Linked DNA regions of Coturnix japonica. The protein of the gene in region 3 interacts with the protein of the main gene of each other region in a biochemical or structural test. Links are inferred from orthologs where the notes say so. Each region holds a gene or a part of one and is shown on either strand. Other genes may lie near its edges.

Region 1 (4,888 bases), on a different chromosome or scaffold from region 3:
TTAAATCGCTGTAGGTGCAAACGGGGAGAAAAACTTTTGAGGCTGTGGCTTACGCGACCTACTCGGAACTTGACAGAACTAAATAAAAGGCTGGATGTGATCCACTTCTTCCTGTTGGCTCAGAACCATGAAACAGTCCTTACCCTTCAGGATTGCCTCAGGAATATAAAAAATGTGCCTCTTATTCTAAAAAGAATGACTCTATCCCATACGAAAGTTAGCGACTGGCAAGCACTCTATAAAACAGTGTATAGTGCACTGTGCCTTAGAGACACATGTCGCTCTCTTCCCCATAGTATCGAACTCTTTCAGACTATTTCACGTGTCTTCACTGATGATCTGCAATACATTGCTAGTCTAATCAGCAAAGTGGTGGACTTTGAAGGCAGTGTCTCACAAAATCGCTTCACTGTTAGACCCAACGTGGATCCCACCATTGATGAAAAGAAGCGAAGGCTAATGGGTCTGTCAGACTTTCTGACTGAGGTGGCACAAAAAGAACTGGAAACGTTGGACAGCCATATTCCTTCCTGTTGTGTGATCTACATTCCTTTGATTGGGTTCCTTCTCTCCATTCCACGGCTACCAAGTATGGTGGATAAAAGCGACTTTGAAATTGAAGGCTTGGACTTCATGTTCTTGTCCGAGGATAAACTGCACTACAGAAGTGCTAGAACTAAGGAGCTAGACAGCCTGCTGGGTGACTTGCACTGTGAGATAAGAGACCAGGAAACACTTATTATGCACCAGCTGCAGACAAAGATCTTGGAGAGGTCTGAAGTGCTTAACAGCGTGATCGAGTATACTGCACACCTAGATGTGCTGTTGGCTTTGGCAGTGATGGCCCGGGAGAACTCTTACTGCCGGCCACGCTTTACACAGCGCCATGGCTTCCACATCAAGGACGGAAGACATCCACTGATGGAACTATGTGCAAAGACATTTGTGGCTAATCCTGTGAACAGTGGTGAGGCTACCAGACGAATAAAGATAATCACTGGGCCCAACTCGTCTGGAAAGAGCATCTACCTAAAGCAAGTAGGTCTTATAATATTTATGGCTCTAATCGGCAGTTACGTGCCTGCAGCAGAGGCAGAGATAGGAGCAATTGATGGGATTTACACAAGAATCCACACTAGGGAATCAGTTTCTGTAGGACTCTCCACATTCATGATTGATCTTAACCAGGTTGCCAAGGCAGTAAACAACGCTACAGAGAGGTCATTGGTACTTATTGATGAGTTTGGCAAGGGAACCAACACACTAGATGGCCTGGCCCTTCTGGCTGCTGTGCTGAAGTATTGGATCAATCAAGGAACCCAGTGTCCGCAGGTCTTTGTCTCCACTAATTTTCACAGCTTAATGCAGCTGGAACTCTTGCCTGACACACCTCTTCTGGAATATCTGGCCATGGAGACCCACCAAGATGGAGATGAGTTGGTGTTTTTCTATCAGATCAAACAAGGAGTATCCACTGTTAGTCATGCTGCCAACATTGCTGCACTAGCTGGAATGCCAGCCAAAATTATTGAAAGAGGAGTGGAAGTGTCAGAACTGATTCGCAATGGAAAAGCTATCAAACGTATTGATCATCCTGCCAAAGGAGACCAGATGGAAAAATGCAAGGCTGTTGTTGAAAGGTTTCTTAGCCTAGATCTTGATGATCCTAATGTGAACTTAGAAGAGTTCATGCATAAAGAGGTGTTGCCTTCTGCAGCCTCAATTCTGTAGCATGGCTATGTCTATAGGCATATATTACAAGTTATCTGCCATGTTCAGTAGGGTGGTTTGGTAATTTCAACAATGACTATGACTAATGTATCACACTACATTTTACTTTTTAAAACTGTCTATAGTGCATGCTATTTCTTATTCCTGTCTAAAATCAGTATGGAAGCTATATATCTCTGTATGGTGCATGGTATGAAAGCAGGAAGACTGAAAGAGGAGAGAGAATTCAAGAACCTCTTCCAGCTGTTGGATCGTGCATTTTGAGCCCCTATTGTTGGATTCTCAGACTGGAAAAATACTGTAGAAAAATCGAAATAGTTCTGCTGGTCTCGTGAGACTATAAAAACAAAGTGTTTATTGTTTTGTGTACAGTGGAAGTAATCATTTCGGTCATTTTAGGATCATCACCAAACGATCACAGTAAGTATGTGCCTTGGACTCCCAGATCAGCAAATAACGTTGCTACAATACAAACCACTAAAGTAGACTCTGATTAATGGAAATACAGAAGGATCTAATGAGCTCTGTGACATTTAATAAAGCTGCATTTCTGGCCATAATGGCAGAGAAACTCCAAGAGTTGATATAAAAAGAATGGAAGTCAGAAACAGTGGGGTTTGACTAAAAGAGAAACACTTTGGTTTTATTGAGAATAATTTTTCTGTTATTTCTGAGTATGTATGCAACACATATTCACGAACAAGTGAATAAAGAGAAGGCATGATATACAGTTACCACAAAAGTAATAACCTTCCCTGCAGTAGCATAAATGCCTTAGATTCATTATCTAAGTAAGACAGAAAGACATTAGATATCTGATTGACTGCCAAAGCTTGCAGTAACTGCTAACAATATTGCTAATCAGAGATAATCAGCAGATATATTGGATCTCACTTCTGCTCTACTTGTTTTCAAGAAGACAAGATTCCACTACCACTATTTCAAGAGAGAAAAATTATATAAGGAAAAAAAATAGTTATATTCATAATTACTGGTACTAAACATTTTATCTGTTTGGTATATTTCACTGAAGACAGTGAGGTAAATGTGAGTGTCCACCAAAAAGATCTGAAATCAGAAACAGTTCAGTGCAGGCTCAGTGCAGAATTTCCTCCTTTTATGGTGTGCATTTATGATAGTACAAAATAAGTAACTTTTGTTATCTCTAAAGAAACTAGGATAGTGACAAATGTTTAACATACATTACATGAAAAATACAAGAGTAAATGACTGCTGCTTTCAGTGTGATCATAATAACACTACCTGCAAAATAATATCTGACATCTTGGGGATATTACCGCTGAAGTTGAATGGTAGCAGTGAACAGCCATGGACTATACTTACTAGTGCTGTTTACAGATTTTTCTCACAAATATATTATCCTTTATTAAATACACATACTGCATTCTAAATATGTGCTGCATAGAGGAATATCGTATGTTAAATATTCTTAAGTTATATTTTTTGAATACTTTCTTGTCAGCCTATGCCTGGACTAAGGATATACAGCTTTTTAATTAACCAGATGCCATCTGAGCAGTGTAACTGTCAGTCATCTGCTAATAAAATTCATTTCATCATATTTGCAGTTCAGACAGCAATACGTACTAAAGGATTTCTGGATGTTATGCAGCATTTATCAGGTGAGCCTCACAACACTCCCTGAAATAAATAGCAGATGAATGAAAAACAGAGGGGTCGTGACTGACCTACAGCAATGTAGCAGGATAGTGAGGGAAGGAGGAATAGAAAGGTTATTATTAAGTGCAAAACTCAAGTTACTTCTTTCACTGTGTTCAGTTGTTCTTTGTACAGAAGATAATGATACTAACCCAGTATTATCACCCAAGTCAGCTGTGAAACAACTAAGCATGTGCAAGTCAGTTATCTCCCTTTGTCTCGTTCCAGAGAACACCCAAAGAAACACTGTGCCTGCTTAACCTGGGGAAGTTTTCCATGGCACATTTAATTTCAGGACTGTCAAACTAAATGTAAAGAATGAGTTTCTCCACTTCTGAGCAGATAAGAAGGTAACCTGAGAAGCTGAGTGGACACTCAGACATCTCCTCCCTTATCCACTTTATCTGAAATGTTATCCTTTATTAATTTCTATTTCCAAGGTTGTGCTTTTTGTTTTGTTTTTACATTTATCATCTTGTCTATGTTCAGCTTAATGCTGCGACTTCAAAGTGGAAAGCTGCTTTCTTCAGATGTTTCACAATTAAACTCAAAATGATAGAGAAGACTGATGCTAATGCCAGTGGATTGACTGACGATGCTTCCTGTTAATTTACAGATTTTCAATACATAATATCTTTCTAAATCTATAGAATACTACGTGTATTATCCAGTATTATGGAGGACCAAGGAAGATTATTCGAAATGACACCGACCCGGTTCTGTCAGTAGCTGTGAATATCAGAACACAGAAAATATGTATCCTGGCCAATACTTCATGCAAGGTAGATGAATGCTTTAAAGAAACAAGAAAGAAAGAAAGAAAGAAAGAAACAACAGACTGGCAAAAAAGCACCTTGAAGATCTGAGATATTTTAACAAAACAGTTACATTGATGAGCAGCTGATATTCTGCAAAAGCTGTGGATTTTTAGAATATTTTTAAAAGCAGCTGTTATAACAAGCAAAAGCTTCAGCCTACGATTTTATGAGCTACAACACACCACCTACAACTGGCTGACAAGTCCTTATTTTGCTTCAGAGCAACTCTGCATTATGTCATGTCCCTGAAGCTACTTCATGTATCTCAGAACTCATTTCATCTTCCGGCTGATTTCAGAATATTCCTTGATTAAGATCTTCACCTTTCGTATTTTATAGGTTTTTTTTTCTAATGAATAAAGTACTTTAATGCTTGCTAAATCAACTGACAATAATTATACTATGTACATAGTTTTAGAAAATATTTCTTCTGAAAATTACTTTCCTGGCCAATGTTGAAAGGTTACATAAAACATTTTATTGCAATGCTAGCAAAGAAATCTTATGGAGATATATCTTATGTTAATAATAATTTACTGTTAAGTTAGTGTGAAATAAAAAGCTAGACAACCTATTATTGCTTCTCTATATTTCTCATAGATATTGTAACTTATTTCTATGTTTGTCTACTTTTTCTTGTCAAAAAAGCTAATAAATGG
Region 2 (5,906 bases), on a different chromosome or scaffold from region 3:
GTGTTTCAAAGCAGCAGCAATGAGGCTGCCTCTTGATTTGACCATGCAACCAAGGAATTTTAGTCATTTTGTAGATAGATGATTATCCAGATACTAAGATCTGGCTTGACATGTGTGTCTGATGGTATTATACACCAAGATTTCTGATTGTGTTTGTGAAAACTAAGGATATGATCTATTTCCCTGGATACCTCTCTCCTACAAGGCAGAGACATCAGAAAATCCCAACAACTGAGCGGGAATTATAGCATGAAAACTAGCAATAGATCATATTGTACCTGCATTGATTGAACCATGTCTTTGGTAAAACGATAAGGATACAAAATATTATGAATTTTCACAGCAAGATTCTCAGCTTGACCACTGGTCACATCAACAGCTACCTGTAAAAAAAAAAAAAAAAAAAAGTGATTTAGATTAATATTTTATAGGCTCAAGCTACCTAGGATAAACATGGGGAAAAAAAAAAAGAAAGAAAAAAGTCAGATTTGGGAAAAAACTTTCTGGAAGTAGCTCTACATATTTTGACAAACCAAGCTTTCCACTCAAACACAGCACTAGTTAGAGATACAGTCTGGCAATCACTCTGTTTCCATCCCCACTTACTTTCCCATCTGGGTATTACCTGCTAACTTCAGTACATTCAGCTAATTATGAATACCTATCAGAAAACCTGATGTTGACTACCAGCCTAGATAAGCTCCCAGAGGAGTGAGTTACAAATACACATCACCCTGAAATGACTCAGAATCTGTCACTGTAACAAATGAACAGAATTGTTCCTTTTCAAAAATTCACCAGCAGGTGGTTTGTGACTCCATCTCCATTGTGTGCAGGTGGAAATGGCTACATACGTAAGTTTACACACTTGCAACACGATGATTAAAGATAATGCTGCCTCATGACAACAAAGGAAGTTTTTCTAAAAGTTCCAACATTGTTTCCCTCTCACATGCTACAGTCCTGCTAGGCTACGAAAACAACTACAGTAAAATAAACCTTTAAGACCCACTGCAGCCCAGAGGAGAAAGATGAGTTGTTTTACTCTGTCCTCAAAGAGGACAGACAATATATTACCATTCTGACATCAAACTTTCTTATTTTAAGACGAACATCTCCGTAAAGAAGACGACAGCTTACAAGAAAGTCTTACTTTTGAAATGACTGAAGGTAAAGGATTAGCCCAATACCTGCCTCTCCAACTTTGAATACATGCATAAAAATGACTTACATATAAACAAGCTATAAAATATAATTGCAAGGCCTGTAGTCTAAAGTATAACTGAATAAATTATACAGAACAGTTACAATACTTGCAGTTTTGGTCCCCATATCAGATAAAATAACTCCTATGTGTTGGTGTGAGATGCAAGATAATGCTTACCTCTGGGCAGCGAACAAAAACAGGATTATCCCATTCTGAAAGCATCGTCTGCAGAGACCCGCCATCACCACCTGGGAAAGAGCACACAGATAATACAGGGACTACCATAAGCTGTCAGCAGAAGGTACATTGGGTACCTCTACCTCACACAAGTATAATTACATTTTTTTTTCCTTTAGTAAAACGGGTGATTGTACAGATAAATAATGGAGCATGAGAGTGGGCTTCTCTATTGTTTGCTTTATCTAGAAGAGACCCTGTGCAGCTTCCTGAGCACACTGCAGCACAATTCTACAGGCCTTGGAAACGAGGAGGGAAAAGAAACAAAAACAAATGAAGGACCTATTTAGCTACCCACTGCTTCGGGACAAAGCCACATACCAAAAAGGTGATTTCATCCATTCTACCACAAAAAGAATGTGTGGATTGAAGCTATTTTTCACATTCCAAGGTTGGAATGAGTACAAAGAAGGGACTAGGTAATTATTCTTTAAGCTACTGACATCATTCAACAAAGAGCTGGGTATTTAATCTGTAAATAAGTACCCCCTAACCTACCTTCAACCCTCAAAGAGGTTTTTTTCCAGTTCTAGATCTGAGGTGACTCACACAGTCCCATTGTTAGCAGACCTTGAGTAATTCTGGGTTCCTGTTGGGACACCTGGGAGAATTCTTTGACTTGTTTTTACAGCAGTACACTGTGTCCTGGAAAGCTGGCCCTACCTCTCTGATCCTGGCTTGCTAGAGTCTTCTCTTTTCCAGGTCTAGGAAGGAAGGGTAGCAAAATCTCACTTCTAAAGGGATGGCACCTGCACTGAAACCCTAAAAACAACATAAATTGACTTCTGCAAATTCATCAGTGTGCAAAAACACAAAAGGCTATACAATTATATTTTCATAAATGAATGCTTGCTTAGCCCTGAGCAAATTAGACTCTTATGTTGATTTGGCAATCTAGCATTAAGAAATAGCAGCTCATATGTAAAAACTGAGAATTATCAGATACATTTGCAGCTGGAAAAGTGGCTTCTGCAAGACTGACATTCTTAAAAACTGGTTATGATTTTAATCACATAAAAATTACTTAAAGAATTAATGCAGTCATAAATGTTTACCATAAGAGGAAAGAGATGGCATACAGACAATCAAAACACTTTTGACTTCCCTCTTTTCAGGTGTGGCAGAGCTGTCAATCCATTACCACCACCATCAGTAGTTACCAGCAGTTATCAGCACCTTGTAAGACTGCAAACTACAAGCCAGTAAGACCACGTGAGCTATCAAAGTTAGTCTAACAACATGTTCCTACCCACCCAGAAATGATTTAATGATATTACAAACCTGCACTGTTATCAAGATTATTAAGTGGCTCAGATTTCCAGCACAGTGGTAAACATGTCACCCTTCCTTTGGTACAATTCAGATTTCTATTCTTTGTGAAATAATAATGAATTAATAAAGTTCCTTTCTACTAAGAAATTAAGGGTGTGCATTCAGGAAATATGGCAGAGTGATAAAGCCAAAAAATAAAAATAAAAGCTGTGTGCTGATAAGCTCAGTAGGAAAAGGTTCTATGAGGTCCTGTGGCCAGTCCATCGACTCCTGACTGCTGGCTTTATCCCATTAAAGCCTGGTGATGGACATACATTGCTCATGAAGTCAGGATTTTCTTGTCCAAAGGCCAGTGAGAATTCAGAGCTCGCAGAGATATTATTACAACTATTAATCTGACAGGTAACATCAGAAAAGGTGCCAAGAATAACTTCTCTACTTCATACATGCAAACCATATACATCTAGAATACTTGAATAATAATTACATTATCATGTTGATGCAGAACATTAGATTACTCAGAAAGTAATTTGATTATGAAAAAAAATTGATAAACTTTCCTGTAACGGTCAACTTACTAAGTTCAGAGATGCCTAAGTCTAACCTGCAAAACCTTACATTTCTCTTGGGCACATGGAGCGCATGGCCTATGACAATCACCTCTCTCTTCTTGCTGCCTACTGTATTTCTAATTCAAGCCAGGATGCCATTGGCCTTCTTGGCCACCTGGGCACACTGCTGGCTCATGTTCAGCCAAGTGTCAACCAACATCCTCGGATCCTTTTCCTCTGCAAAGGATATGGAGGAATTCAGTTTCCTTAGCTTCACACGCACTCCCATGTCAGAAACCATTTTATCAGACTGCCCCTTTGCTGCCATCTGTTGTACAGCAACAACACGTAATGGGATATTGGTGAAAGTTTCAACCTCTTCTACCCTACCATCAACATCCATCTCTGATGTCATGGGCCAGCATAATAAAATGGGAGGAATTAAGTTTCAGAGCAGCCTTTGCATATGACAGCAATTAGATATGAGTGTGATTACAGTAGATGTCATGATGCTTAGCGAAAACTAAGCGCTGACATTTCCTTTCACTATTTTATTAAAAACCATCTTGTAACATCTTAACATTAACATGTTTGTTTTGTCTCCATAGTCACCAACAGTTCTGTTTTCTGCTATGTATAAGGCAGTGGATTTTTCAGTGTGAGTGTCAGGTGCAGCCAGCAAAACATTCCATGCACCTAGCAGAACAAATACTGATTTCCTCATCCCATTTTTATAACAACAACAAATCATCTTACCATTCTCTGAGACAACGTTCACAGCCATTGTTGTTAAGTCTGTAATGCAGGCAGCTGGAAACTCTTCAGGAGGAGTGTTGTAGGTGCTCAGTCCCGTTGCCTTATTGATGTAGACTGTCTTACCCAACAAAGCATCAAAATCTTGCAGCCAGTCTGAACTACGCAAATCATCCCTGGGATCACCCACATTTCCATTGTCTGCAGAGAACGCCAAGTTACTTGGAGAGACCACACAGTGAACGTCAGCATCTTTCACGCTTTGTTTTGATGATTCATTTAACATACTTTCATCTTCACAGATGACCTCAGCGCCATCATTTTTTGCTGGTAAAACACTACTTGCAGAAACTGTGCATTCTCCTTCAGTGCTGCTGAGTGGTGACAGGCTAACAGGGCATTTCATGGACTCTGCTCTCAGATCATCTGATGGTGGGCAAACATCCCCCTTAGAAATGCTGTGACCTTCCCTCATTTCTTCCACTGAGGCTTTATACCTTTGACAAGGGTTATATAAAAGATCATTATTTGAAGATTCAAGATCAAAAGAGTGGTTATCTTTTCTACTTGAATCAGTTTGGAGTTGTTCACCCAGCTGTTGTACTGCTCGGTGATCACTTTTCATTTGGCACAGTTTGGATGATAGGGATCCTGGAGATCTTTGACTACTTGTAGTTTGTTTACTAACCTCTGAGTAATCAGACAATGTCAAAGGACTGCGGCAAAGGGTTCGTTTGTCCAGTGGAGTTTCTCCACTACACAGTAGAACTTCATCTGAAGATCTCAAAACGTGGCTGTTATTATTAGAATCCAAAGTTGGAGTCTCACAAATGCTCAAGTGACCACGGCTGTTATTCTGACTCCTTGAAAAGTCACAGTTTGCTTGTGCATTAGAAACTGGGAGATGAAATTCACTCTGCTCTGGTGATGGTGTTGGTAGTGTACACTTGACACGCCCATAATATCTCCTGAACTTCTCTAATGAACCGAGCTGTGTAGCTAGGCTCAGCTTCTTGCAAGGCTGTGATCTTGGCGCAGCTATTTGTCTTCTAGGGCTTTCTGCAGCTTTACTGTGAGAAATACCTGAAGATGTTGCCAGCGGCAAGTCTGATACATGTGATATTTCATAATGTCTTTTACTGGTGGCAGTGGACGTGTCTCTCCCATCACGTGCTTGACTCGGCAAACTTTTATTCTCTGACCGCTCATTTCCATCGGCACTGCCTACTTCTCTGCTGCAGAAAGGTATATATTCTTTATTCACATTTATGGAAATATACTTAGCATTTAAAGCCTGAACTGGCAAACTCACATTGTGTGAGTATGCTTGGGTATGCTTGGCACTGACAGGGCCAGCTCTGCAGTGCATGTTTAATGCAAGATTTGTTTCTGTTTGTTTATGCTCACGGGGTGGCTCATTTTGCATGACACGTATTTTGAGGCCCAAGTGAGAATGCACTTTTTCTGGTACTGAACTAACAGCCCCTCTTCCAGCATTATCTACCACTTCACTTCTTTCCCTGTCGCCTTCTCTCACATTATGTGGTCTTATCAGTGAATTTCCATAGACAGTTTCAGATTCCCCTGCAGTCTCAGAAGGGTCCTCTCTCTCAGATGGCCACCGAGTAAAACCATTATTTGAGACACCAACTGTACTGCTTTTCTGCACAACTTGGTCTTGCTGCTTTCCTACATCTTCTGCACGATTCTCAGCACAGCCACGCAAGTCATAATTGCTTATTTTTATTATTTCTGATCTGCATCCTTCTGTGAAAGAGGAACGGAGATTTTCTGAAGATCTGAGATGAGTATCACACGCTTCTTGGGAACTGTTTGTGCCTTTTGGCTCCTGTTCCGACATATCAGACACAGTGAAATTAGAAGCG
Region 3 (6,593 bases):
AAACCTAACAACAGCTGAGTTGGAAGGGGTCTTCATTTTATAAACATTCTTGAATTCACACACTCAGAAGACATACCATTATTAAATAACAACCAAGGATAATGTTCTTAAAATAAGAAAGATACTTCCTTTTACACAGTATCAGATTTTGACAGCATATACAACACCTGAAATACCAATAACCTGTGTTTGTTTCATGTAATTATTTATATTGTTTCCCATCACTACTTTCCTCAAAAGTGGAATCAGCTCTCAAATAAGATTGGAATACAAGTGTCCTCAGAACAGAACTGTTCTCTCAAGAAGGCATAATAAAACAAACTTGCAATTTTCTTATGGATACCATCAATTTGTATCCCCAAGACCAAAACTAACCCCATCAGAAATCTCAAAAAGCAACCCTCATCAAAAATTTATCTAGGAAGTGACAACTTGATGTCCAACTAATTGCTACCTAAGCGTTGAGAAAATGTAGTCTTTGATACTGCACACAGCTGAGTCTGAACCTTCATTCACCCTATGTTCGATAGATGCCAGCAATGGCATTCACGCATAGTTTCATCTAAGGCCTGCTTTGAAAACATAACTGTTATTCTGAATGATCTACCCATGACTTCCCCCCACCCTATCAGTAGCTGATTACTTTTTTTTTTTTTAAACTGCAACTAAGAGGTGATAATGATCTTAAATTAGGTTACAGTAGTTAGACAATTTTGATTTTGATGATGGTGAGTTGTTTAGTTTGTTACATACACAAAAAAAAAAATAAAAAATACAATGATCAACCAATGTTCTTCATAAAGTGGTATTGCTGGTCTTCAGTTCAGACCAGTGAAACTGTGACCAAAGTTTTACATACAACACAGCAAGTACAAATAACCACACAGACATATGGAAACATGTACATGTATACTTGTAGACTAAAAGTAAAGATTAAAAATACGGTTTTAACTGCTAAAACACATAAAGGTTAGAGAAACCTGCTCCGTGAGTTACAAAGCTATAGTCACTGCAATTCCTAGAGTAGTCAAATAGAGAACAGAGGATCACAACAGCTGTAAGAAATTACAAAATTCATGCTACCTCACTTTTTCAATCAAAGAATTCAATTCAGTTTCAAGTAGAGAATCAATTTCTAGTCTTATCAGGATTTTTTTTAAGTTGAAATACATGTTTTTAAGAATCAGTCCATAAGTAACTAGTTTAGAGAATTATCATTATGCCTCCCTTGGATCTAGGCTGCTTAGGTATAAAAAAAAGATTATGATTTATCTTTCAGTGTCACATCATAAGCATGTTGAAAAATAAAGTATGTTTAATAAAACGTTAGAGACAGATGTTGAACTATTTCCCTTAAGCAACATCAATTTACCTGAATATCCTGTAAGAGGGGCATGGCTTCTGCCAATAGACCTACTAGCAGAAAAGGGTATTTTTCCTACACATGTCTTATTCAGGCCTCGTGCAGAACAACCATCTGTGAAATTCACTGCACTAGCATTTTCTGCACAAGAACTTTTGTCCCCAAGATATGATTCTGGAGGGAAAGGGAAAGAAAAACAGTCAGTTTCCATTCTGAAAACAACACATACGCATCTTAGAAAACCTTCTGTTTTGTACTAGAAGTACAGAAATCTCAGCAATCCACCCCCAATAGCCTTCTCTACAGTAGGACAAGCCTGAAATAATGAGTTTGTTTGGAAAGCCAGCCTGTATTGATAGCTGCTTTCTGTAATGACTTTATTTGCAGTGGTGATAAAAATATCTGCTTAATTTGCTGGACGGAAACAATATAACTGGAGTAATTTTACAATGCATAATTTCATATTCTAATGAGTTCCAGATCCATGAAAAAAAATGCTATAACTGACAGCTCTATCCTGCAGTTTCCCATTTGTTTTAAAATCCATAGCTGAAACTTCTGTTTATGGAAGTTCCAGAGTCTGAAAAGGTCACAATAATATTTTTTTTAACATGAACATCCCTTTTAAAAAAGGGCACTAAAAGAGCAAAGAACTGCTCAGAAACACGCTCTGCTTGACCGTGATCTCCCTTTGAATCTATGAGGTTCAACCCTCAGAAATGACACAGTAATCTGAAACATATTAGTTAACTGTTACCTGCCATTTCTTCTGCAGATACACAGATTGACTTATTTTTTTAAATGCGGCAGAACAATTTTTTTTTTTCAGATAGCTCTTAAATGCAATAAATTAGTAATTTATTTGGTAAATAGTATTTTACGTATCTCAAGTGCTCTCGAGATGAGTAAAAACATAACATCCTTAATCCAGCTTTGATAACTGCTTTTTAAAAATTTTAAGGGTACAGAATGGATTTTTTGCACCTGAAACATTCAAAATACTACATATAAAGAGACATGTTAACTGTTTCCGTTCTATATATTACGTCAAAATTTATTTACAAAGTAATAAAGTATTTTTCTTAAGTGAACCAATTACATGACAGTTTCACATAGTACAAGAATATTTACAGCACCATGTTTAGAAGAGGTCTTGCAAATCTTCCACTGTAATACATTTGAAAACAAATAGCATTAATTCAGATACACATTTTATTTATTTGTAACGAGTGGAAAAATCTGCATCACAACGCAAAAAGATGACAGTTAACATTGGTATTCACTTCGACTTCAGCGTAAGTTCATTCAGCATTTTGGCAGAAGAGACTTTGCTATTACTCTTGAATGTACTGCACCTGCCTTAATGCGTGGGGAAAAAGTAATTTCAAAGACCAGAGGAGCCGAGCCACCAACATCTTTAAAAATAATAATCAAAATATGCTCAGAGCTACGCCCTGAACAAATGGGTATCAAAAGTTTTGGCCTGTTTTGAATACAAGGCTGACCGTACCTCTTACTGAAAAACACACTACTGTCATCCCAGTTTACACATAACAGGAACGTATGTACTTCAGAAGACATTTCAGCAAGTGCCCCATTTTTATTACTATAGTAGTTTTACTGAAGGGGAAATAAAAAACAAACGAACAAAGACAAAAACCAACCACCCACATTTTCCAGCCTGTCAAGACAAAAAGTCGGCAGGAGCAGGTGATTAGTTGTGCTCCAAGGACACACTGTGAGCAACCGCCAGGACCACAGGCTCCGAGTGCACCGGGACAGCAATACTAGGCTAAGCTAGGCCAAGTAACTGTAACCAACTGAATCCGGTACAGCCTGTGGTGGCAGCAACCTTTGCGGTGGAATTCAATCAGCCAAATGACTCCATGCGCTAATTATCTAAAAGGTCATGCAAAAACAGCGTTTGTTTTAAGAAACGTGAGTAACGCCGCCCTTGTTCTGAGGAGCCGAACCAAACGGAACATGCCGGCCGGGACGAACAGCCGCCGCTCCGGCTCCGCCCGCCGACCACACGGGCTGCCGCAGCTCCGGCCCGGCTCAGCGCGGACAGACACGCAGGGCGCAGCCCGCTCCGACACACGGACACACGGACACACGGCTCCTACCTCCCCGCCCGGAGCGCGGCTCCTTGCTGCTGCTGCTGCCGGCAGCACGGAACGGAGTGAGCCCCGCCCCGCCGCTGGAAAGGCCGCCGGTGCTGCCCGAGGTGCTGCGCGGCGTCTGCAGCAGGCCCAGCGTGTAGTGCCCGCCCGGCCCCGACACGGAGGAGCAGCGGCCCGTGTAGGACCCTGAGGCGGCCGAGGCGCCCCCTCTCCCGCCCGGTTCCGTCCTGCTGCTGCCGTTCGACATCGCGGCCTCACGCACAGCCGACACTGCACCTGAAAGCGGCGGCAAACTGAGCCCACCGCGCATGCGCACGATTGTCACACACACCCCCCCCCCGACCCAGCCGCCGCTCGGTTGTTCCCCGCGAGCTGCCGGCTGAGGAGTTCCTTACAGCGGCTGAGGAGTTCCTTACAGCGGCTGCCGCGTTCCTTACAGCGGCTGAGGAGTTCCTTACAGCGGCTGCCGCGTTCCTTACGGCGGCTGCCGCGTTCCTTACGGCGGCACGGCGGCTGCCGTGCTCCTTACGGCGGCTGCCGCGTTCCTTACGGCGGCTGCCGAGTTCCTTACGGCGGCTGCCGAGTTCCTTACGGCGGCTGCCGAGTTCCTTACGGCGGCTGCCGAGTTCCTTACACAGCGGCGGGCGTTTAAGCATCATTTGTGCACCGTGTTTTACAGCTGACTGGACAACCAGTGCTACAGCAGCTGCCAGCACTGAAAGGCACCAGCTGCCAGTGTCCAGGTCAGAGCAGGGGAGCACCTCCAGCAGACACAGCTTTAAAAATACAAGTGTCAGAAACCTGAGTTTCACCGCAATGGATGAAGAATTCCAGTTTCAGATACTGCTACTATTTTAACAACTCGAAGATGGCGTTAGACCTTCTCTTCAGACAGAAATCTAACTGCACAGACAGAAAAACAGAAACAAAAGCTACATCTTCCCCATGACCCCCATTTCTTATGTTCATAAATCATAACGCACACTTTGTCTAACCAGGCTGTCACAAACATGACACCTTGTCTCTACCCTTGACAGTGGTTGTAGCAGCTAACAGAATGGTTGCAGATTTTTCCCAGGTAGCCCTTTAACCTGGCCCGGTAGCCACACTACAGCAATGAAGATTTAAGTATGAAGAAAGTGTCAGGACCTTTCCATACAAAGAACTGCACAGATAAAAAAGTACAAACTTCTGAAAGCCTTTAATAAAGGACCAGTAACTGAAGGCTGTGAGGTAAAGTACTGCAACATATCAAGTACATAAACTCAGGGAAAAAATTTTAAAAAAAATAAATCGAAAGAAGCATTAAAAAAAACAAAAAACACAGGAGATTTTTAACAATGTATTCTGCAACAAAAATCACATACTGAAGTGTTCTTTTGTTTGTATAAGAAAAGCTGATTTTTTTTTTTATATGTGTACACAATATTTATAATAAATTAAGAGGTAAAGAATGGAGGAGAAATTCTAGAAGCTTTTAGTTTGGACAAACACATACTCATTTTTAACTTGCAATCTGCATAACATGATCTTTATTAATTACATCTTAAATCAAGGTGACCAGTCCTCATTCAGAGAAAAGTTCCAATAACATTATCAGGATTTCAGACCACAGTGTTCTACACTTTCATGAAGTATCATCCAAATTTTAATTCCCAGAATGTCTCAGTCTATACTAAACCAGAAATTACAAACCATATCGTTATCTCTATATAACATGGAAAAAGTAGCAAATCCCTACACACTGGCTAAAGAAGCTATGAATAAAAAAAGTGGCACTTACAAAAACAACCCAGAATGTGAGGTTATTTCTTCTTAACTTTATTTTTACAAATTTAAAAAAACAAAAAACAAAAAACAACTATAATCAGTGCTCTCATTTCCCCCCATACTCAACAAAAAGTCAACCTTAACTTAATTCCAAATCTTGAAAAAATAAATTCCAGGCTTTGACCAAATAATTCACCAGGAAATGGAACCATTAGAAGGGAACCATTTTGATTTTTTTTTTTTTTTAAATCATCATCTAAAAGCTTTTGGAAATCTAAAGGTTAAAAAAAAAAAACAAACCCCACACATTATATTTGAGCAAACAGTCTCTGAATTTCCCAGAAAGTCACTGTGCCTTTTCTCTAAGATGAATGGGTTGGATAAAACTAACCAGCTGGTGATCAAAAGTGTTGAAATAGTTTTAGACCTTTTTTTTAAGTATACATACAGAGATTATCAAAGACAACTTCTTCCCCTTCACAACTACATTTTACTGTGAAGCAGAGCTCTGTTTAAGACTGCATGCAGGAGGGTATAGTGACATACAGTTTTAGGGCTTCTGAATAGACAAGATTTAATATTTCAGATGACTGTTTTCCATGGCTAATTTAACCCTCAATTACATCTCAAAGTGTTGGCAATTTTTATTCTTAAAAGCTGCAAAACCTGAATTTTAGTCCAGCAACAAACTTATGATCAGCACTATATTGTTACCTGATCTGATAACCTTGGAAGTCACGTCCCTCAGTAAGGTGCTTTGATGGCCCCGACCAAGTTACACGCTGGTCCTTACACCAATGTGGTGAGAGGCAAAATGGTGTTTATTCGACTGCGTGAGTCCCTTATATAGGTCTCCTATTTCATCTCATACATATGCACTACTGAGCACGGGAAAGCCTATTGCGTTACATACCGAGTTCATACCCACCTAATACAACACAATATTCAGCTGCAAGTCACATACCTATGGAGAATTTCTCCAGAATGATTAACATTAGCAATTTTCAATGTAGATACACTCAAGGTATGTTCCATTTCAACTATCGGGAATTTTGTCAAAAGGAACTTCACCAGTAATTGAAGTATACTCCTGTATTTAATAGAAATCATATTTTTTGTTGCTTTCACTGGTAACGATTACTATCAAAAGAACTAGCTTTCATCTGAGTATATAGATGTGAGGTCAAGCATGAAAGAATTACACATAGAAGTGTTTGGCATTAAGTGCATGGCTTAAGTTGGGTGTTTTTTTTCCTGTATTCTCCTAAAGTGCTGTGTGATACACCATCAAAACATGCTTGCATAAAGATAGATGCTACCATGGTTGACAATGCAGG

The links.
Region 1: the proteins of MSH4 (region 3) and MSH5 form a complex in vitro, tested with the Homo sapiens proteins (2 studies listed by BioGRID). The link is inferred for Coturnix japonica from reciprocal best matches to the Homo sapiens genes MSH4 and MSH5.
Region 2: the proteins of MSH4 (region 3) and MLH3 form a complex in vitro, tested with the Homo sapiens proteins (2 studies listed by BioGRID). The link is inferred for Coturnix japonica from reciprocal best matches to the Homo sapiens genes MSH4 and MLH3.

The regions. Positions count from the first base shown.
Region 1 is NC_029518.1:52,072,664-52,077,551, forward strand, and holds the end of MSH5 (mutS protein homolog 5), read left to right. Parts: coding exon 1-1,731; 3' UTR 1,732-2,151; intron 2,152-3,320; 3' UTR 3,321-3,374; intron 3,375-3,639; 3' UTR 3,640-3,761; exon of another isoform or gene 3,762-4,061; 3' UTR 4,062-4,371; downstream 4,372-4,888.
Region 2 is NC_029520.1:34,599,560-34,605,465, forward strand, and holds part of MLH3 (DNA mismatch repair protein Mlh3), read right to left. Parts: coding exon 4,024-5,906; intron 2,207-4,023; coding exon 2,108-2,206; intron 1,456-2,107; coding exon 1,385-1,455; intron 384-1,384; coding exon 279-383; intron 1-278. UniProt on the Homo sapiens protein: Probably involved in the repair of mismatches in DNA.
Region 3 is NC_029523.1:26,865,193-26,871,785, reverse strand, and holds the start of MSH4 (mutS protein homolog 4), read right to left. Parts: upstream 3,792-6,593; 5' UTR 3,734-3,791; coding exon 3,490-3,733; intron 1,538-3,489; coding exon 1,373-1,537; intron 1-1,372. UniProt on the Homo sapiens protein: Involved in meiotic recombination. Required for reciprocal recombination and proper segregation of homologous chromosomes at meiosis.